Linked DNA regions of Neodiprion lecontei. The protein of the gene in region 2 interacts with the protein of the main gene of each other region in a biochemical or structural test. Links are inferred from orthologs where the notes say so. Each region holds a gene or a part of one and is shown on either strand. Other genes may lie near its edges.

The links.
Region 1: the proteins of DNA replication licensing factor Mcm3 (region 2) and cell division cycle 7-related protein kinase form a complex in vitro, tested with the Homo sapiens proteins (2 studies listed by BioGRID and IntAct, with this or other methods). The link is inferred for Neodiprion lecontei from reciprocal best matches to the Homo sapiens genes MCM3 and CDC7.
Region 3: the proteins of DNA replication licensing factor Mcm3 (region 2) and kelch-like ECH-associated protein 1B form a complex in vitro, tested with the Homo sapiens proteins (2 studies listed by BioGRID, with this or other methods). The link is inferred for Neodiprion lecontei from reciprocal best matches to the Homo sapiens genes MCM3 and KEAP1.

What each region holds. Positions count from the first base shown.
Region 1 is NC_060261.1:17,270,831-17,277,372, forward strand, and holds cell division cycle 7-related protein kinase, read left to right. Parts: upstream 1-2,002; 5' UTR 2,003-2,219; coding exon 2,220-2,268; intron 2,269-2,383; coding exon 2,384-2,603; intron 2,604-2,682; coding exon 2,683-2,776; intron 2,777-2,883; coding exon 2,884-3,026; intron 3,027-3,186; coding exon 3,187-3,304; intron 3,305-4,078; coding exon 4,079-4,259; intron 4,260-4,357; coding exon 4,358-4,507; intron 4,508-4,637; coding exon 4,638-4,765; intron 4,766-4,881; coding exon 4,882-5,004; 3' UTR 5,005-5,842; downstream 5,843-6,542. Other genes in the region: myb-binding protein 1A-like protein, read left to right, coding at 1-363, 524-983; protein unc-45 homolog B, read right to left, coding at 6,032-6,542. UniProt on the Homo sapiens protein: Kinase involved in initiation of DNA replication. Phosphorylates critical substrates that regulate the G1/S phase transition and initiation of DNA replication, such as MCM proteins and CLASPIN.
Region 2 is NC_060261.1:28,714,705-28,723,052, forward strand, and holds DNA replication licensing factor Mcm3, read left to right. Parts: upstream 1-2,110; 5' UTR 2,111-2,216; coding exon 2,217-2,291; intron 2,292-2,377; coding exon 2,378-2,490; intron 2,491-3,751; coding exon 3,752-3,960; intron 3,961-4,059; coding exon 4,060-4,190; intron 4,191-4,327; coding exon 4,328-4,566; intron 4,567-4,690; coding exon 4,691-4,933; intron 4,934-5,037; coding exon 5,038-5,401; intron 5,402-5,604; coding exon 5,605-5,909; intron 5,910-5,998; coding exon 5,999-6,149; intron 6,150-6,270; coding exon 6,271-6,513; intron 6,514-6,583; coding exon 6,584-6,789; intron 6,790-7,004; coding exon 7,005-7,203; 3' UTR 7,204-7,800; downstream 7,801-8,348. UniProt on the Homo sapiens protein: Acts as a component of the MCM2-7 complex (MCM complex) which is the replicative helicase essential for 'once per cell cycle' DNA replication initiation and elongation in eukaryotic cells.
Region 3 is NC_060263.1:38,075,914-38,083,457, forward strand, and holds kelch-like ECH-associated protein 1B, read left to right. Parts: upstream 1-1,911; 5' UTR 1,912-2,476; intron 2,477-3,209; 5' UTR 3,210-3,225; coding exon 3,226-3,528; intron 3,529-3,908; coding exon 3,909-4,073; intron 4,074-4,214; coding exon 4,215-4,882; intron 4,883-4,966; coding exon 4,967-5,215; intron 5,216-5,302; coding exon 5,303-5,601; intron 5,602-5,709; coding exon 5,710-5,912; 3' UTR 5,913-6,729; coding exon of another isoform or gene 6,730-6,787; 3' UTR 6,788-6,844; downstream 6,845-7,544. Other genes in the region: uncharacterized protein LOC107225684, read left to right, coding at 6,730-6,787, 6,866-7,061, 7,520-7,544. UniProt on the Homo sapiens protein: Substrate-specific adapter of a BCR (BTB-CUL3-RBX1) E3 ubiquitin ligase complex that regulates the response to oxidative stress by targeting NFE2L2/NRF2 for ubiquitination.

The DNA.
Region 1 (6,542 bases), about 11 Mb from region 2:
ACGCAATCAGGCTTTGGAATTATTAGACATATTTTATCATAATAATAGGCTGATTCAAACCGACAGGAGTCATGCGAAAATACGCAAGGTAATGGAAACAAATATCAGCCACAAAAGTGTTGAATTGCTGGAAGAACTTGGACAGAACAAAAATACTGAAGCCACACACCGTGTAAAACAGAAGTTCGTCTATCTACTATTTACCTTACTGCACACCATAAAGCACCAACATCAATCGAGCTTTTGTGATTGGGAAGCTGTCGGAACGACGATGGCTATCTACAGGTCTAAATCCTCATTAGCTAAGGACGCTAAAAGAGCTTACAATCGACTTGCCAATCAATTAGGCGTTGAAGTCAATACGTAAGTTTCAGAACGTTCTATGTTACAATTCACAAATTAATTCTTTTCAACAGTAATTCTAAAAGATTTTCTGCGCTCTAATAAATTAGGCTCACGGTCTTTATTTTATTCATTCGATTCATCACTATTAGCTATTATTACATGTATTTTCAATTTTCAGTATACAAAACCAAAAGAAAGAGGAAAAAATAGAAAGTTGCGAACATGCAGAAAGTAATGGGCATAATGTCGAAACTGGATCAACAGATGATGACAAGTCTAGTGAAGATTCTAAGGAGAGAGATAAACAGACAAAGAAGCTGAACAAGAAGAAACAGAAGAATAAAAGCAAACAGAAAGATATACAGCAGCTAAAAAAAGTTACGCGTGAACTCCGAATGAAAGCTATGTCAGATGGATTCAGTTCAGTTGATTTTAGTGCAGTACCTGTACATTATATCAACGATGTAGACATGGAAATTACCGCGGATGGTGAATCGTCGCGAAACTGTGAAGTTCTGGCGATAAACATGTTACAAAATAGTACAGACTTACAATCTGGGAAAAGAGTTTCACCTAAGAAAAGGTCGGCTTCAGAATCGCAAAATATACCCTTCAAAACTAGTAAAAAAAAAAAATGACATCTCTGAATAGATAAAATAAATATTGATATTTTTTTATACAATTAAGAGTTACAGCACACGCATAAGTCTTGTGCTCAATTTAATTTATGACGCTGTGCGCGCTTAAGGTAATCATTTACGGGACTCATGAAGTACATCTTTGTCACATTGAACCTGTTGAAACGTTCAAGCGGAGTAATAATAATCGGCTAACATTTTTCCCGATGTTGTACATTTTTATGTATTGTTTAAAAATATACAGTGTAATTAAAATTGTAGTAGCATTCCTAATTTGACCTGTCGGCGTATTGGAGTTACAAAATTGTTTCTGGTTTGACTTCCAACGCATAGATAATTCGTAACAGAACTTTTCAGCATTCCTTACTTACTCCGCATCCATCTCTTTCTCACCAGCTCAGCCGTATTCACAGATACGACAGGTACGAAAACTCCCATGGTGGTGGCAAGTCAGTTTCAGAAATGTCCCGCTAAAGTTGAAGCGCTGCAATCTAGAAGTAGTCGAACCCTTAGAGCATATCACTGATATATATATATCAGTGGGTTATACATTCTCATCAACCACCTCCGTGAAGTTGGCCCCCCGAAGTTGTTATTTTTAAATCTAATTAATGCAATTCGTTTGAGAATCGTTTGAGAGGGTTTGAGAGTAAAGAAAAATCGTTTGAGAGTTAGTAGTTTTTCCGGAAAATTGATTTTAATTTTGGGTGTGAAGTTGGCCCCCATATTTTCTCCAACTTCACGGAGGTTCATCAACCGACGCAACTTGACAATGAGAGCCAAGCGGTTTAAGTTAGATTTAAATATAGCCGAATGGCGCTTCGATCAGCAGATTCACCACCATAAGCAATCACATATCCCTAAGTATGTCTTCCTTCTGGAAGGGAGAGCCAAGTTGTGACTATGAAACGAGGACCCCTCTGAGATTCATGGAGCCTTCATCAAGGCGTCCTTCATCCTTGAGATAAGGAGAGACTATGAACACGGGTATACTACGATGTTAATTAAACTTTTCGGAGGTCGCGGATTTCTGAACACATGTACTCAAATGTGTCGATTATTCCATGAAAGTCGCAGTTCTATTCCATCAGGTAGCTTAAGATTGGCGCCAATATGCGAAGAGAATCCTTGTAGCATTAAATCTTGGTTGATCGTTACTTTTCAGATGGAATTTTTCCCTAAAAAAGTAGTCTGTGTAGTTGTCGGGACACTGAATTCTTGTGCGAAATTTTGACCATGAATATAGTATCTTCGGTTAATAATTCTGGTAACAACGTTGATGAAGGTGGTGCATCAAAATTGTCTTAATTATTTGTTTGCCTTTAACCATACAAGTATTACGTGTAAACGTAGTTTCAGTGATGGATCTTAAGCAAATGAATTTCTCTTTCCAACTCTAGAAAACGAGAAAGACAAAATTTCATATCTCATTCGAAAGCTGCCTGTTCTGGGAAACTTGTTTCACATACACGGTAAAATCGGGAAAGGGACATTCAGCTCTGTGTTTTTAGCCACTTTAAAGACATCCACAAACCAGCGTAAATTTGCCATCAAACATCTTGTGCCTACGTGTCATCCGAGGAGAATTGAACGTGAGCTACAATGTTTGCAGGACATAGGGTACACCTGTTTCTATTTCCTGCTATATCGATCGCCTGCTTTTCTTTCAAAATGTCTATGACACTGAAATTCTTTGCAGAGGTACCGATTATGTTGTTGAGTTGGACTTGTGTCTGCGGAGTGCAGAATGCATCGTGTTCGTAATGCCGTATATGAAGCATGATAGGTTCGCTGTACGTAAATTATATACAAACAAGTATAAACTTATGATTTGAAAATGACGTATAAATAGGTCTCTTTTAATAACGTTGTTTCACTTAATGAGAGTTAGTATTTTTAGGAATATGTTCACGACATGACCGTTGATGAGACTAGAAACTATATGAAAGCGCTGCTGGTTGCCCTGCGGCGAGTACATAAGTTTAATATTATACACCGGGATGTAAAACCTAGTAATTTCCTCTACAATCGTGCTATGAAACAGTGAGTTATTTATTTCAACATCTAAGTGTGTGATATAGTCATTAAAAATTCCTGGTATTTATGTGGCTTTTATTTGCTGTACATAAGATGTGTGTAAGAACTGGTCAAAAACTCGGTTCTATTGTTCTCAACATGTCAAGCTTGTGTTATCAAATTTTAGGTATCGACTAGTCGATTTTGGGCTAGCGCAGCAGTATACTACTGAAAGTAACACAAGTAGTCAGGCAGAAACATGTGTCATTGAATCTCAGCCAGGAAAAAGAAAAAGAAACGATGTGGTAGGAATGAACTTTTTTGATTGAAGCCAGTATAATTAAGCATGAACGGGTCACCATGTAAATCAACATTTAGAAGAAGATAAAAATCCATGTTAAAACCTCTAACAATGTTATTTGTCCCAGTAATGGTCTACACGTATGAAACGACACCCCTACCAAGCGATAGAACTGAATTTGAGCAAATTTAACCTACTTGAGCTTAGACGCCAACAATTTGAGAGAAGGTTTTATAATCAGAATGAATGAGCCAATACATAAATTCTGACAAAAATCGCCAAGATCTAGTCATTTTCAACGTTTCAACTATTAAACCTTTTCTCACATTGTCAACATCTTGTCGTGTGTTATTCGAATTTGCCCACATTTTTTTCAACTACATGGTGCCGATATAGTTTAATTCATCTTAATTATCATTCACGTGAATAACATTGCTGGAAATTTTTTAGATGGTTTTTTCTTCCTTCTTTTCCCAACTTTTGATTCAGGCAGCAGGACTATCTCATTTTTAATACGAAACGTATTGAGAAATCATGAAATTCAAGTTGGATATGTTAACGCAACGATCCATTTTTAGGAACAATCGTTATGTTACAATTTTAGGACAGTTTAATATCCAGTAAACCGTAATCAAGCAAAACCAATCTCACATTCTGAAAACTCGAAACCTTCAGTCATAGTGAAGTTGTAAATCAATAATTTTTTTTCAACTCTTCAACCTGTTTGTTATTTCTGTATTATCTTGACAATTATTATCAGTTATTTCTTAATTGGCAGAATGACGAGACAGGTCCTGTAAAAAATACTGGCAAGCCTATAGATGTGCAATGCATATGCTATGGAAAACCTCGAATATGTTCTATCTGCCTATCAAAATCTGCTCAAACTGCCCCTCGTGCTGGTACGCCTGGATTTAGAGCACCGGAGGTGCTACTCAAGTTCCCTTCGCAAACGTCAGGTGAACACATTCAATTCATCCTTCGTCAATCCTTTGACATGATTCTAAAAATTGGTCAGTCAAGTACCGAAAATAAAAATGAAACACCTTATTTTTAGCAATTGATATTTGGGCCAGCGGTGTCATAATGCTTTGCATCCTGAGTGGAACTCACCCTTTTTTTCGTTCGCCAGATGACTGCACAGCCTTGGCTGAGATAACAACAATCTTTGGTTCGACCAAAATGCAACAATGTGCCAAAAAATTGGGTACTTTGCTTTATTTTCCGTTTTACTGTTTAATTAATTCACATCATACTTTGATCTAAAACGACTAAACACAGAACCAAATAGCTGGATAGCACTTTTATTTATAATACAATAATTTTTTTTTATGCAGGTAGAAAACTTACATTTAGCGAAAACATACCTGGAATTGATATTAAGTTGCTTTGTCAAAAATTACAAAAGAGAAATAGCCTTCATCGAGAGGAGGATCCCAACACTAGTTGTAGTAACAAGAATCAGGTATTTTCAAATGTTATTTTTCATTATTTTCACTTTCTTTATTTAACGCCGATGTGCTTCATTCTTTTTCTGTTTATATCATTATTAACAGTTCTTTTTTTTTTTCTAATTTTAAGGAAAAAATTGATACTGCCTATCCTTCGGCAGCATATGATTTATTAATTAGGCTGCTCGATCCAGATCACTGTACAAGAATAACTGCGGAAGAAGCGATAAATCACACTTTTCTCGCAGACTAACCATTTGTATTTAATTACTTACGTGTCTCGTCAGAAATTCATTCTTGCAAATACTGTTACCTGATTTTAAACAACGAACATGTAATACGTTTCAACAATGTATAAAATTGGTCTCTAGTTGCCTGAGAATCACAGTGATGAAGTGTGATTTATACGATCTGCAAAGTTCATCTGATAATACGTGCCTTGTAAAACATCAATACAATTACGATGTGTTTGTTTGTTCAAATAATGTATATAGAGAATATTTTTATATTTATTATTAATATAAGTATTGACTTCTGTCGCGTACTATATAAATCAAAACTATACATAAGTTCGTTAAAATAAAAATTAATATATTTTATTTAAAATGCAAGTTTGCTAGTAATTTTAAAGAACAACTTTTCAAAAGTTGTCTTTTTGTATATAAAAGAGATGTATTGAATGGTTGAAAATTATTTAGCAATGTACTATCAATTTTGATATTTCGACAATTCCTATAACTCAATTTCGTCAGGTAAACACAATAGTCGTGTAGTAGGTATAAATATATTTTATTATAATATATTATCGAAATAAATACTGTACAAATTTTTTCCAACAATTTAAATTACAAAATTTTAACTTGCCAATATCCAAGTGCATTAATACTATGTTACAGTGTAAGTAAGAATGAACTTATAGAATTCTTAAGTATAAATCAAAATGATTGAACATTATCTAGTGCCAAAAATATTTTTAAGTACTTGAGTGCGTTCATCTAGAATCTTCAGAACAATGAATGATGATGTATGAAAATGTTGTGATATCAATAATAACTAAAATAATTTCTGATGTAAGAAAACGTCACACAGTTCCCACGAAAATAAAAACAAATGCATGTATGGATATAGAAAAACAAAATACAGGAACTTTTTTTGTGTCGTAATGATAATATCTGGGCAAATTGAAGACTGATTAGCAAGTAATCATGAATCGTGATCTGGTAAGTAACGAAACATGTGTAAAATAGCTTATAACACAAAGACTTTGTATAAAGTGCAGACTATTCGACAGCGGCAGAATCATCCAGATTGATATTACTAACGCCTTGAAGGTCTTCAATGTTTTTCTTAATCAATTCCCACTTGGCAGCAGTTTCCAAAGCCTTAGCGGCTAATTCCCGTATCGTCTTGTCCTCAACGGCCTCGGTTTTAGTCAGCGCCATTAAAATCTCCATGACGTCAGTCTCAATCAATTTAGCGGCGACATCCTTGGTGCTGGATATCATATTAAGCACCACAACGACGCCTCTGTGCTGGATACTCTTGTTCGGATTAGCCAGAAGGTAGTGAATAGACTCGAGCCAATTTTTCGAGTCGAATATCTTAGCGCAAGCTTTGGTGCTGTTTGCGGTCAGCATTGCCAGAGCACCAGCAGCAGCCATACTGGTCTCCTCATCCTCATCTTCGCACAAAATTACGAGATACTTGACCCTGTCATTGTCGCCTTCGTAAAACTTGAGCACCTCTGGAGACATCATAAGGTTGGTGATGACTTGAGTAGCGGCACGAGTC
Region 2 (8,348 bases):
TTTCAAAGCGAGCTAAGCCTGTAGTTAATCAATACTTGTTGGCTGTCAAATGACTCAAAATGATATATAATATAAGATGCAATTTGATTACGTTACGTTATGCCAAACTTTGGAATTTTATCGACTTAACAATAATGTGAATAATTGAATACGTTCAAACCTCAGGTGAACCCACCACTTAAACGACATCATCGGTAAATTCAAACGCAGATTATTACATCATTTGCAAAACACAATTCAATCTCGCGAATGCCGAGTATGCGATGGTTACCTGTCGCGATGCTCATTCCACTCTTAGCAACGTGCAAAATTTCTAACTTCACGTAAGCTACGGTAAATTGGGTAGCGAAAAAAAATTATTCGACCGAAAGTCAAGCACGTTGCCATCGTGAATGAGCCTATCCATGCAGCTAAGAAATCGAAGATTTGTGTAACAATTGTTACCGCCACGCCACGTGACAGAGGAATCCCAGGGAAATACCCATAACCTAACACATGCAAACTCACCAACGTTGCCGAGAAATAGAAAAGTTACTCGGAAGTCTCTGCTTAAATCTGTGAAAAACAAAACAAAAGATTTGAATTAATTTAGCAGATTGGATGTTATGCAAGAACAAAAGTTCGCCTTTAACTTTACCACCTTGAATTATCAAGCAATAATCAAAATAAGTATTCTTACCTCGACTCTGGGCTGCTCCACACTTTTACATGTAGTAGTTCTTGTAGCATCTTAGGTGAATTGGTGAAGCGACGCACTTTTTACATAATTCAGAACTTCACTAATCTCTTATAATCCAAACATCCACACCGCAATGACACTCGATTCTACACTCACTTTTTGTGCTGTAGCTGTCTGAACCGACTGAATAAACTTGCTAACAATGCAACTACGCATTTGTCGAAAATCAGCCAAAAAAGTAATAAAATTGACACTCGACGCACAGAGACAAAAATAGACATCATTGAAATCCGAAATTACACAAAACAAAGAAAACTCGGGACACGTATTTCACCTTCAACGTTCACAACTACTTATAACAACGCGGTCTGAATATTGAACTGCTCTGAATACACGCGGTTCCGCTCCAGCTGCCCATAAACGACTGATTCCGCACGGCGCTCAGAAGAGAATCAAATCAGTTTTCTGAAGGACGGAAGATAATAATTCTTCCGCTCTCCTTGTTTCTCTTTCCATGGAGTGGGGGTAGCTGTACGCGCCTGCCAGGCTGTTTTTCTCCCTTCTCTCCTCTCGTGGCCCCCACTCCATGGGTAGAGCGACAGAGAGAGCGGGAGAATTATCATCTTCTGTCCTTAGAGAACCGATTGAAATCCGTTCACGGGACGCTTACGCCGTTGTTTGTAAAATATTTTTTCCCAAAATTGTTATTATACACTTCCACACAAATAATGAACAATATTTCTCGGCAATCCTCTATCCATGTATTGAAAAATTTGAGTCAAGTCCAAAGGACAGGCATCAAAACATTGTATAATCTGTTGTAAAACAAAAATGTAAATCAATAAAAGAAATTTTACCGTTAACTGAGAATATGTACTTTACGTTCTCGTTGACCGAAGTATATATGTCGTAGGCATCTAATAAAATCGGGCATTTAATTAAAAGCCTAGTCATCTAATTAAATGCCGGCATTTAATGAAAATCGTATTGATGTCTTTCATTTACTATTATCGTTTAGAGTTTAGAAATTTTATGCTCTAAGGTTGTCACAGACAACCAGCTACACTAGCAGCCGGCGACATTTCGAAGACCTTCAGAATTACTGCATGCCAGGGGCTTGGCTACTTTAGAGTTTGTTTTGGCGTCCGATTTTCCGGATCACGGATTATTTTATTTCATAATCTATACGCAACTATCGCAGCTGCTTACACGCTCGCACCTGACTCTTGTGGTCTATTCTTATATGTCTGTGACTCTAATTTACTCTACCCACCAATAATTTTTGTGCTAAACAAGTAAGAAAAAAAAAAATGAGAAAGATTAAAAAAGTTAGGCGGCTGAACTCCATGATACCGCAAAGACTGAATTTCACCACCACGTTTCACTTCTTCAGTATCTATGTTTCACGGTTCCATATTCCCGCGCAAACAATTTGCCTCGCCGCGTTAAGTGTTTACGTTTGTAATATATTTGATACTTGATATTTCTCGGAAAGATTTGACGCGTATTATTTATCAGGAAGTATCGCATAATACGAATGATGGCGGATCCCATGATAGAGCAGAAAATTCAAAACATGGTGCGAGAGTATGTGGATTTCCTAGATGATCAGGTTTGTAAATCTGAAATGAAAATTCACCCTACACCGGCAACTCCTAACCTTAATCATAACCCGATGACATTTTTTCATATTTCCAGGAAGATCAGGGGAGATACACAGATTTAGTTAAAGCAATGATCGATGAGAAAAAACACCGACTCGTTGTGAACGTCAACGATTTAAGGAAAAAACGTCCAAGCAGAGCGGCGAGGTTAGTTTCACCAAGTTGACTGTTGTCTTTTTAGCAACGACGCCGAAAGTCAGCTAGCCATGGGTGGTATCTTGAAGTTTATTCGGATCTCATGAAAGCAATGTCAAAAAAAAGGCATGTGAATAACTGCATGTCGTAACATAGTTAATAATCTGACGTAATTTCATGTGGATCTCTGCCCTTGGTACGAGTTTCAAAACAATCCCTTTGGCTATCTACCTAGAGTAGTCTGTAGTCACTTAATCTTATACACTGAACTTAGATACGATTACTCCACTTGAAGTGGTAATTCCTCCACCCTCGGAGAATAGATAGTTAGCCACTGATGTTAACAAATTATGAAGTAAAATTTTTTTTATAACAATTATGTAGTTTCTAATATACCGTGTATTCTATCTCAGTATACATTAAATTATATCCAGAACTGCCACTGACTTCACAAACGGAAAAAATTCAGGCCATGTTATTCTTTAAGAAGGTGTCCTAGTCGATTTTGACATTGACGTATACATCTCCAAATATTGAAGTTCGTGTATCTCGAACGTGAACATGGGCTTAACAGCCCCATTCTATACATAATTCTTAACTAAAACATTCCAATACATTTTTATTCGACGCAGAAATAAAGGAATGGCATGAATTCTATGAATTTAAAATTGCGATTTCATAGAAACCATGCCATTTCCTTTGTTTTGCATCAAATGAAAATATATCTGAGTATGTTCTTGTTCATAATTGAGTATAGAAACGCCAAAAACAATTATTTCACTGTAAACTACATTGGATAATTGAGAACATGTATAACACATTTTTTTAATGAATTTCTCAATGTTTAAATGTTGGCATTATTGGTAATCGGAATGTGAAGAGTCAGTTCAAAACGTCTTCTAATTAAGTGATTTATGTATATTAGAGCTGTATTATACATATGTAAATTTCATAAACACATGCATACTCAGATATAGCAATCACTTCAATAACAGGAGATTTCATAAAAATGGCAATGTTCACTGTCATTAACTCTGCCCAAGCTGTATCTCCTTGACCATTTGTAGAAGAATATCGAAATTGTAGATTGTATACTACTGAACGTCTTATGATTTCAACTTTCTGCTACTGAGATGATAGAAACACACAAAATCTATATCACGTGAATTAGGTTGATTTCGAAATTATCTGTGAGACTTTGGATTTAATACTCTTTCCAAAATTAAAACCTCCCTGTATGTGCATATTAACTAATAAATTCGTTGGCGTTTAGTTTGCTAAGCAACTCTTTTGAGGAACAATTGGCCTTCCAAACTGCATTGAAGCAGTATGTTGAAACAATCGATCCGTCATACTGTAAGAACCATCCAGATTTGTTCATTGCGTTTGAGGGCAGCTTTGGTACCAAACATACGACGCCTCGAACTTTGACATCAAGGTTTCTTGGCAATTTAGTGTGCGTTGAGGGTATTGTTACGAAATGTAAGTTGAAGGATAAACCTATGTAGTGGCCTAAGAAAATCAATAGAATGTGATCGAAAATAATAGTGTTGTTAATTTATTTTTATCTACAATTTGAAGGCTCTTTGGTGAGACCCAAGGTTGTCAGAAGCGTTCATTATTGCCCAGCGACAAAGGTTGCCACCGAAAGACAGTACACAGATCTTACTTCTTTTGATCCATTCCCAAGTGCCAATGTTTATCCAACTCAGGTAATGAAACACAGAAATATACATAGTTGATGGTTTCATAATATTTAACAGAACTTGGTTCTTGACCTCTGCTAGAGCAATTTATTGATTATATATTAATTTGAGGTGTTAAAAAGTATAATAATGTGACTGATTAGGACGATGATGGCAATGCGCTCGAAACTGAATACGGATTATCGAGTTACAAGGATCATCAGACTTTGTCAATCCAGGAAATGCCTGAGAAAGCACCGGCGGGACAGTTGCCTCGCAGTGTGGATGTAATCTGCGATAATGACTTAGTAGACTTATGCAAGCCTGGAGACAGGGTCCAAGTAGTTGGAAACTACAGATGTCTTCCTGGCAAACAAGGAGGATTTACATCTGGAACATTCAGGTGTGAGACAGTAGCAAATTTGTGTTTTGTTGCTTCATTCCAGCTGGAAAGTTTTTTTTATATCTGACTTTTAAGTATGAGATCATCTCAATTAATGATATTATCGTTTGTTACATTCTTCCAGGACTATTCTTATTGCGAACAACATTTCTCAGTTGAACAAGGATGCCAATCTTAAAATATCTCGAGCTGATCTTACAATGTGCAAAAAAATGGCCAAGAAAAATCACGTGAATAACATTTTTGAACTGTTGAGCAAATCTTTAGCTCCATCGATACATGGACACGAATACATTAAGAAAGCTATTCTATGTCTGTTACTTGGTGGAGTTGAGAAAATTTTACCCAATGGAACAAGATTAAGAGGGTAATTTCATAACGTTTTGAGATCTAAATAGTTTTCAAGTAACATTTTTTTTTTTTTTTGTAACATATTGGAAAACACAATTAAGAAGGGCTAACATTTTTCAGAGATATTAACATTCTGCTTATCGGTGATCCCTCTGTTGCTAAGTCTCAACTCTTGCGGTATGTTTTGTGTACCGCTCCCCGAGCAGTTCCTACAACTGGTAGGGGCTCTTCAGGAGTTGGTCTCACAGCGGCTGTTACAACTGATCAAGAGACAGGAGAAAGAAGGCTCGAGGCTGGTGCGATGGTATTAGCTGATCGTGGCGTCGTTTGCATTGACGAGTTTGATAAAATGTCTGATATGGACAGGACTGCCATACACGAAGTCATGGAACAAGGAAGAGTTACTATAGCCAAAGCTGGAATACATGCCAGTTTAAATGCACGCTGTTCTGTATTAGCTGCCGCTAATCCTGTATATGGTCGAGTAAGTATGCATTATTGAACTTTTCAATTAAAATTTCAAAAAATTTTAAGTCCTAAATAAACTGTTAAAACTTACTCATTAATTAACCTGGAGCTAAATGTCTGAGCAGTGTCTTCAAAAGATGTAATTTTCTTCTAATTGAATTAAAAAAAATGTGTGTCTCACAGTCGCACTGACTAACAAACCTGGCAACAAATTTTCAGTATGACCAATATAAAACACCGATGGAAAATATTGGGCTACAAGATTCGCTGCTCTCTCGATTTGATCTTTTATTTGTAATGTTGGATCTGATTGATTCGGATCAAGACCATATGATAAGCGATCATGTCGTAAGGATGCATCGGTACAGAAATCATACAGAAAAAGAAGGTGAAGCTTTGCCAATGGGAAGCAATGTTGATTTGCTCAGTACAAAGAATCCAGATACAGTAGATGACGAGGAGACAGAAACGTTGGTATATGAGAAATACGATCCTCTGTTACATGGATTATCTCGTGCAAAAAGGTAGAATTTTTCCAACTCAGTACTATCCAACTTGTCACAGTTGGATAAAGAGTATCACATTTTCCTATAACTTGATGTATTATTTTCAGTGATAAAATACTCAGTGTTAAATTCATGAGAAAATACATCCATATAGCGAAGTGTATGAAACCAAATCTTACGGAAGAAGCGAGCGAAGTGATCGCAAATGAGTATTCTCGTCTAAGATCAGAAGATACTGTTGAGTCCGATGTGGCAAGGGTAAAGTTATCAAAGCCATAGTTTTATGAAATCTAGTCAAAAATTTTGCTACTTGATTTATAGAAATCAATGAGGTGATTTAATGCTTAATTTCTTTAATAATTGTGAGACTTACGTTTAGACACAACCCATAACTGCTCGGGCTTTGGAAACTCTCATTCGTCTTTCAACGGCACATGCCAAAGCGAGACTCTCAAAAGACGTTACCGTGGATGACGCGTATGCGGCAATAGAGCTGGTTCAGTTCGCCTATTTCAAGAAGGTGCTGGAGAAGGAAAAGAAACGACGAAGAAATACAAGTGAAAATGGCACACAGAGTGCAGACGAAGAGGATAGAACTAAAAAGCGCTCAAGAAGAGAAAAGGTTGTCGTTTTTAACAATTTGAGATGCTCCATATTTCATTGCGTACTTTAACACTTGGATTACGTTTCAGAAACAACCTGGAGAGGATGGCTACGACGAGTATGAATTCGATAGTGAAGATGAAACGCATATCGATGAAGCTATTCGAAGAACAACTCGTTCACAAATTGTAAGAGTTGAATCTGCTCCTCGAAATGGTTCAAATGTGACAACAATTTCTTCAACTGAATCTGCACAAGTTGAAGAAACGAGTCCTGTCACCATTGACAAAAATAGGTAACGAAAGATTAACAAATTTAATTTGATTAAACTCAATGTGACGAGCTAATAAATTATCTTTCGCGGCTTATGAATTTTTTATAGATGTAGATGAATATTTTGAAATTCATTGTTTTTACTTGGATTTTTTTAAATTTCTTCGAAGATAGTTTCTTGTCATATATTTCTTATGCATCTAATTGAAATTTTTTTCATTTCCGTTTTTGGAACAGGTTGGAAATTTTTCGAAATGCTCTACAAAGATTGTTCCGCGAAGAGCGTTCTCAGTCACTTCCTCTGTCAAGGGTACACGAATACGTGAACAGTCAACATTCTCCAGACTTCACAAAGGCGGAAGTTACTGCTGCTGTAACAGAGATGACAGATGCTAACCAAATTATGCTGGCGGATAACATAGTTTTTTTGATCTAGGTAAATCTCACATGGCTTTTTTTTTATTTGTTTTTTTTTTTTTTGTGTCGTTTCACTACAGTTGAATAGATCCAACTTCTTACCCGGTTTAAAATGATTCATATAAAATTATTTTTGTAATTTTCATCTATTGGATATAGTGTTTTATTACGAAACTAATATGTCGATTTAAAATAAAAAAGATAGAAACATCATGAATTTATTTGCTTTATAGATGAGACATTAATTATTCCATTTTCCTAATTGTTTTTGTATTTTTGATTTTGTGATAAGTCAATCTATAACTGTACAGTAGAACTCATATATAATTGAAGCTACAGGGTCGAGAATTTTAAGAATTAGAATTTATGGGTTACCCTCTCCATCAAAATATTCATCTAATACATATTCTGTCGCTGTCTCCGAATGCTCTATGTATTGCGCAGTACAGTAGTTGCATTGAAAAGAGGCAAGATCAGCAGAAGCAACTTCCCCCTCTAAAGTAGGGGATGTTGAATTTAAGTGGTTCGAATTTATAGGAGTTCTGTTGTATGTAAAGAATATAGTAGAGAAGACATTTGCTTACAAATGTAATTTTGGAAGGTCTTTTCACGTTGTTTGGCAGTAAAAAAAAGGGATTAGAAATTACAGTAACATTGATCAGCTCTATGTATAATTTCATAATACAACACATTGGCACATAAACTAGGCAACAATGATCAACATTTATCACAATAACATGAACATACTTTAAATCTCTACATATTCCATTTTTATGTAAATATATTTTTTAATTTACGTACGTATATTATATACATATATATATATATACACACACACACATATATATATATATTTATATAAAATTTCCCTATAGTGTAGGGATACAATACTCTTACTGTATCTCATTGAATTTCAAGCTCATACAATCGTTTTTAGCTATTATATGAATATTTTTATAATACGCACTAATCCAATATTATCTAATTATGTATTTTCTACCCCCATTGCATTCCGAAACTTCTTTCTGTTACACAAGACTTTTCCCAAAGTTTATTCATACCCAAACCATTTGATTTATTTACCAGATTATCACGTATATGTAATGTTTACATCGTTTTACTGATTTTGTTTTATCATTAACGTTGAATAACTACCCGGTACGA
Region 3 (7,544 bases), on a different chromosome or scaffold from region 2:
TTTGCTATCAGTACTGAAATCTCTAAAGCAGCATAAATTTAATGAGATATATATCGAAAGAAAATGTCGAGGAAGGAGATCGAAGTAAAGTAAAAGTATAAAATAAAATTCAATAAAATAAACACATAAATAAAAGTAAATAAATAAACAAATAAATAATATATAACATAATAATATACTACAATGTCGAACTCTGATAAATTGAATTCTTACAGTAGATGATGAGGAATAACTAATTGATATTGCAATTTATTAAAGAGTGATCAAAATACAAATAATAGGGGGCCAGTCTAGAGTCACCCGAGCCTAAGGAAATCAAACATAGACTTACTAAACTAATTTTAGCTGTAATATTTAAACAGGTGGGATCAATCTGTGATTTAGTTGAGTCGCTTTACTGTCCTTTGTTTTCTATCTAGACACGTCGCTGAAATATAATAATGCGTACTATATTTCAGTGAGTCACGTGGAAGATTTTTCTGTTACTTATCTTTATCTTGTTTTGGGCCATCTTTCACAAAACGAAAATCATCTTATTTCTCACGCTAAATAAAGTCTGAATCAAAGGTTGGTCTCCCGGCTGACTTAATCATGCGCTGCCAAGTCTGCCTTTGTAGTATACAATTCTGAAAGAATTTTAATAACGGAGGCTTAACTCTGTAACGAAGATAACCGTATAAACAGTATAAAGAATCGCGATCATATCCGCCTGATAGTTTATCATTTTTCAGTTATTTAAATCAAAGCATTTCAGTATTTTAACTCGCGACCTGGTAGCGCACGGTTGTAAGCTAGGTTAGGTTCCTCGTGACCTACCTCGTCTCTCTTGTTACGCCTACTACTACACTGTTATTGTTGATGAAAACTCCATATTATTATAAAATAAATATTATATTGTCTCAGGTTTGAGACTATATATTAAATCATCCCATTCGATCCTTATGTTACATCTTGTATCTATCTCTGGAATTCCCTAAATCATATTCCTGTATAATAGCCGCGATACGTAACACGTATGCGTGAACGATAGATTTATAAATAATGTACAGATAAAGTGTAAAGTACAAAGGAAAAAGCAATCTCATGCTGCGGTGGCTTTAAGCCAGTCATGCTCTGTCTCCAAAGATTTATTGTGAGAGAGGTCACAGTGTGAATTGTCCTTTGCGGTAAACCGTATGAAACGATGTTAAAATGAAGAGACTGCTTTGTCCTCTCCACCAAATTCTTCGTCAAATGAACGATACGTAACCGAACATTGCTTCGATTAGAAAATACCAATGTCAATTGTCATTCGAGACTTGCGTTTATTACCTCAAGGCCCGCGGGTCCAATAGTAATCTACCACTCGTAAACTGAATGAAAATGATCTTATAAAGGTGCATCAGTGTTGCACATCGTTATACAGTTGTAGGTCCCCTGAGTGTGCAAAGAACAAGACGAAAGAAAACATTGAGTATAGTTGTGATAAAAAAAACAGCTGTCTACGTGATGTACGAAAATTTTTTTTACTCGGTCTCCTGGGTACGTTCCGTGAATCGCATAGTCATAATGACTTTCGGAAAATAAGCAAGGCTAATAGCTAGCTAAGCTGACCTGCAGGCGTGAATGTGTGGACATGTATAGGTCATATTACTCGAATTATTTTATCAAAATATTGCGACGGCAGTTTTGATTCCTTGACAACTGCATAGTGAACACCCCTTGCGGTTATTTCATTTTAATTCCATTCATCAACGGATATCTGGTCGCGAGTGTCCGACAACTATTCAATCAACAATAGACTTATATGTGTGTATATTTTATACGAGTGCCTTCTCCAGAGGCCTACATGACGTACTTACGTACATACACACATGCATATCGTATGAATGCGCTGCCAGTAAGTTACGTGCCAAAGGCTGAAAGCTCGCATGATCGGAGATAACTACATATTTGAATCAGCAAGTCATTCTAGCCGAAATTTGACCCCTCCAGGTGATATAGAGCTTATACTCAATGGCCAACAACTAATCGAGATGTTAAAATCGCATATTTGGAAAAACGTTTGTCCTCTTGCCGATCCTTTTTCTTTTTCTCGTGGATATCAACGTGCAGGTTTTTTCGCGCGTTTTAAAGTGACACGTTGCGTAAATAGTAAATTTCAGTTTTGACATTTCTGCCACTTTGTCACACGTTGGGCGGTGGAAAATTAAATACTCGTGAAAATAAAATAATACACAACTGACGTTTAACACCGTCAACTTACTGTGCGCTAATTTGCATACCGTATTGTTGTGTTTCGCCCAAGTGTAGTCGTTACAAATTTCTTTGAAACACTCATTGTCATGCGGGAATCATGATAAACAGAAAACTCTTCAGGATGTAAAATTGGTAAATGGTGTCATTTTCTGGAGATACATAGTCAAAATCGTTACTTGTGTGGTTTATAACCTCAAAGTTAATCTGATTCGGATCTGTTCAACGCTACGGACACAAGGTACATACACACATTAAGTTATTATAGAAATACCTAATAAATATTATGGGCCGCTTAAATTTCCGAAACCCTTGCTGCGCCCGTGCATGTGTTGCATTTCTTCATCATCGATACTCCATGCTCGGTATCATGTGTTAAAAACCATATGAGGCATTTTTTGGCAAGCCGCTGGTACAGCTACCAAAATGAACCAAAATATAGTTTACGTCACACACAATATTGTTCTGGTACACCTTGTTTGCTATACCGGTGCTTGCCAGAACATGCCTATTTTGGTACACCTATCTGATTGTACGCAAATTTACTTTTCATACGCAATATGCAATAACTGCACTTGTAATACTAAAGTTAATTATATTTAGATTCCAACAGAATGACCAGATGTATAACAATGCTAAGACGTTCATCAATGAAACTATTAATTCCACAAATAGAAACGATATACTCTTTTATCTAATATCTTATGATTTCACTTAACTCCATTTTTTCTTATCATTTATTCATTGTCATTTCCGATCTAGGCTTTTGTCACATACTGTATGGAAAATTGTACTTGTTTGAATGGAAATATTTTCTTTTGTCAAATAGACTTAATATTGTCAATTACATTTTACGTTGTATTCAAATCTGAGATAACGACATGATTGAAAAACTATTTAGTCCCTCAAAACAACCAGAACGTGTGATAACAGATTGATAACAGTAAAAGTAATTTTACTCAATTTCTACCTAGCTTATGATAGATCATCATGGATGGTGAAGAGGATTATTCGCAGATGGAAGGAAGTCGGTGTAATTTCACATCATTCGGTAGAAGTGATGCAGCAGTTGATACCAGTGAAGAAAAGGACCAGAACCTTAGTCCGGGTAATGAGAAACATGGAGACCTTGGCGATATGACATTTTGCATGGCTAATTATATAAAAGAAGCTATGAAAATGATGTTTATGATGCGAAGTCATCACATGCTTACCGACGTTATCTTAGAAGTTGGACAAGAACTGTTCCATGCACACAAAGTCATTTTGGCTGCGGCAAGTCCTTATTTTAAGGTATCATTTTATTTTTTTACACCTCATCCACATCTAGTTATTCCCAGCTAATATTACTTTCAGTCTAGAATCATGAAATAAACATCTTTTAACTTTCAGTTACTACGTGTATATTGTTTAAAAAACAATCACTTCAAATAATTTAACATACTTTATTCAAATTCGTCTGATTTTCATTTATATCAATCAATGCCTCACTTTGTAAGTCCTGATTTTTTCATAATACTTGAAGTGTTGATAGTACAACATCCCGGTGGTCAGGAATAATTTAACACTGCTGAATTACAGAAAGCGTTCATTCAATTACTGCTTCGTAGTCAGTGATACTGTCAATACCTCGTGTCTGTTTATAATAAAAATTTTCTTACTCTAAATTCTAGGCAATGTTCACGGGAGGTCTTAAAGAATGTGAAATGACCAGAGTCAAATTGCAAGGGGTTTGTCCAACAGCGATGGCTCGGCTCATGTATTTCATGTACACGGGACAAATAAGAGTAACTGAAGTAACAGTCTGTTCGTTATTACCTGCGGCGACAATGTTTCAGGTACAGTATTCCTAGGTAATTGTCATAGGTTATAAGCTGAGAAATGTTCAAAAGTATTCCATAGCTGATATGTATTGAATAAAATACACGATCGTTCTTATTGTTAGCTATGTGTCGAAATATTTGACATTCGAATTACAGGTTGGCAATGTAATAGATGCATGCTGCGTATTTCTCGAGAGGCAATTGGACCCAACAAATGCTATCGGAATTGCAAATTTTGCTGAACAGCATGGTTGTCACGATTTACATCACAAAGCAAATCAATTTATCGTGCAACACTTTAGCAGAATTTGTCAAGAAGAAGAATTCCTTCAACTTACGGCCATACAATTAATTAATTTAATTAGAAAAGATGAACTTAATGTACAGGAAGAAAGAGAAGTTTATAATGCAGTGTTAAAATGGGTGAAATACAACGAGGAATCTCGCGGTATTAAAATGGAACATATATTGCACGCAGTTCGGTGTCAGTATTTGACTCCGAGCTTTCTTAGGGAACAAATGAAAAATTGCGATGTTTTAAAAAAAGTTCCAGCCTGCCGCGAGTATCTAGCGCAAATTTTTAAAGACCTAACATTGCATAAGAAACCAGTCGTCAAAGAGAGGACACCCAACACACCAAGAGTCATTTACATAGCAGGTGGATTTCTTAGACATTCGTTGGATGTTCTTGAAGGGTATAATGCCGACGACAAAGTTTGGAGTCAACATGCTAAGTTAACAGTGCCTCGTTCCGGACTTGGAGGAGCATTTTTAAAAGGCATGTTTTACGCCATCGGTGGAAGGAACAATTCGCCAGGAAACAGGTGAGATTAATAACATGTAGATATTGGTTCACCTGCTTAGTTCAAGTAATCGTTAACAAACAGTTTTTTTTACTCATCTTCAAGATACGACAGTGATTGGGTGGACAGGTACAATCCAGTTCTTGACCAGTGGAGACCCTGTAATCCCATGTCAGTGCCAAGGAACAGAGTGGGAGTTGCTGTAATGGATGGTGTATTGTATGCGGTAGGTGGCAGCGCAGGTGCAGAATATCACAACAGCGTTGAATGTTATGACCCGGATCAGGATACCTGGACAAATGTTAAACCTATGCACACAAAACGATTAGGAGTCGGAGTTGCTGTAGTAAATAGGTATGACGAATGCTTTTCAAGATTCCATTAAGCAATCTTTCTCGGGCACTTAAAAAAAACCTTGACTCTGAAATTTCGTATTTATAGATTGCTCTACGCAATTGGTGGATTTAATGGAATGCATAGATTGAGTTCAGTAGAATGTTATCATCCAGAAAATGACGAATGGACCATGGTCTCTCCCATGCGGTGTTGTCGGTCAGGATCTGGTGTAGCAAGTCTTGGGCAGTACATCTATGTGGTAGGAGGCTATGACGGATCTCGTCAGTTGAGCACAGTAGAACGTTACGATACGGAACATGATTCATGGGAGTTTGTGAGCAATGTTTCAGTTGCGCGCAGTGCTTTGAGCGTAACTGTTCTAGATGGAAAACTTTATGCAATGGGTTAGTGTCTTGTGTATATATCGTAATTGACACGATTTTTTTTTTTTTTTATGACAATTTGAATTCTCTCATTTCATGTATAAGTTTTATTGTTCTTTTCCGTTACAGGAGGGTATGACGGACAGACCTTTTTAAGTATAGTAGAAATATACGATCCAGCCAAGGATCAATGGGAACCAGGAGTGCCTATGACTTCGGGTAGATCAGGTCATGCGAGTGCGGTTTCTTATCACCAATGTCCGTTGCATTGTGATCACTTGGAACATCACATTGTTTCTAGTGAAAACCGATCAACGAAACGCACATCTTGACACCCTATGTCGAATTCTGTGACCTGATGACGCGATTTAATTTATTTATTTGTAAATGACGTGTAGTATAATAATATAGTGTAACGATAGTATAAGGAGATAAGACTATATTGAGATTGATCTTAATCAAGCAGGTAGTGAAGCTATGCAGAGGATATTTTTGAATTCTGAGTTGCCTAGAAAGTGCTTACATAAATTGAGAAAAGTGAACTGTGCACAAGTTCCTTCAAACAGACTACAAAACAAGTTTGATTCGATTTCATATCTTCACCTAGATATCTTTGGTAAGTGAAAAATTAAAATAGGCAAGTGGGACAATCTTAGTGATACAAACTAGAAGCAGAAAGCAATTCCAAAGATCACTCAATCAGTAACAAAACGATGTACCCATATTTACTATAGGGCGAATGATCTATTTTCTATAATTCTCTTCATTCTGTTTACGCAACTGATTGTTGTACATTATTTTAGTAACTATGCAAACACCTAATTAATAGTATAATTTGTGATTGGAAAAACCATGAGATATTCGTTAATTGGTAATACTTTTTAATATCAGTACCTGTCACAAGGACTAAAAAGACAAGAATAAATTGGAATGTTGATGATTTTTTCGCAAATATCAAAGGAGTTTACTCCACATAGTATAATATTGCAAGCTGAAGGCAGTCATTTTGTATTTCCATTGTTTATCAAAATGCACGTTCAAGACCTAGAACTAACTTTTCAAATTCCAGATGAAACTAGTCCCATTAAATATTGAATAATTTCTGTAAAATTAAAAAAAATTTTAAAAAACACAAATCTGCGATTAAACATGTTGCCACTGGAGTGTCAAAATCAACCGACTACCTGTCCTATGTGTCTAGGAAAAGGTAATGAAAAAACTTATGTCAACTTGAAATATCAGTAAAAGTTTATTAACAGTCAAATTCAATTTTATTTAACTTTAGGGTATTGCAATGAAGATAAGTCAAGGCTCTCTTTCAGTCAAGAAAAGTCCACACTTGTTCATCCTAAGCGTTCACTACGACTACCAGCTATAAATTCTGAAAATACAAAGCTAAAGAGGCATTCTTCGAGTTACAGCTCTAATTTTTCTGCCACAGAGGGTATCGGGGATGTACACTTACCAAAAATACTTCATAGGTACTACAGATATTATATTCATTACGGAGAGAATTCGGTTCAATTTTGATTATCGGTTGAAAATTGTCATATAAAAAAAATTCGTCCACCAATTTTCAAATTATGGTAGTATTGGCTTTTAGAGAAAATTACAGTCTCCTGTGATGAAAGTGTATGCGCAAAGAATTTTGGGTAGCGGTGAGCAGAATCTCCTTGGAGAGGTTCCTTGTATGTACGTACGTACATTTTGATCGCAGGAGAATGAATTTTTTTTTTCAATGCCTATACTACCATAATCTAAAAATTGGTAGAAGATTTTTCTTAATCGACTTTATTTAATCAGTCAAGAATTAAAAACCCGTGTTTTGGTCAAAGTTTCACCAAAGACTCCCCTTAATTAATGAAGATTGAAGCTTTGGACAAGTTGCAAAGTTCTTAGCAACAATGCTAGCTTGTTTATATACCTCCTTTGAACACAGCAATTCCGTGTATACCGAATGCAGC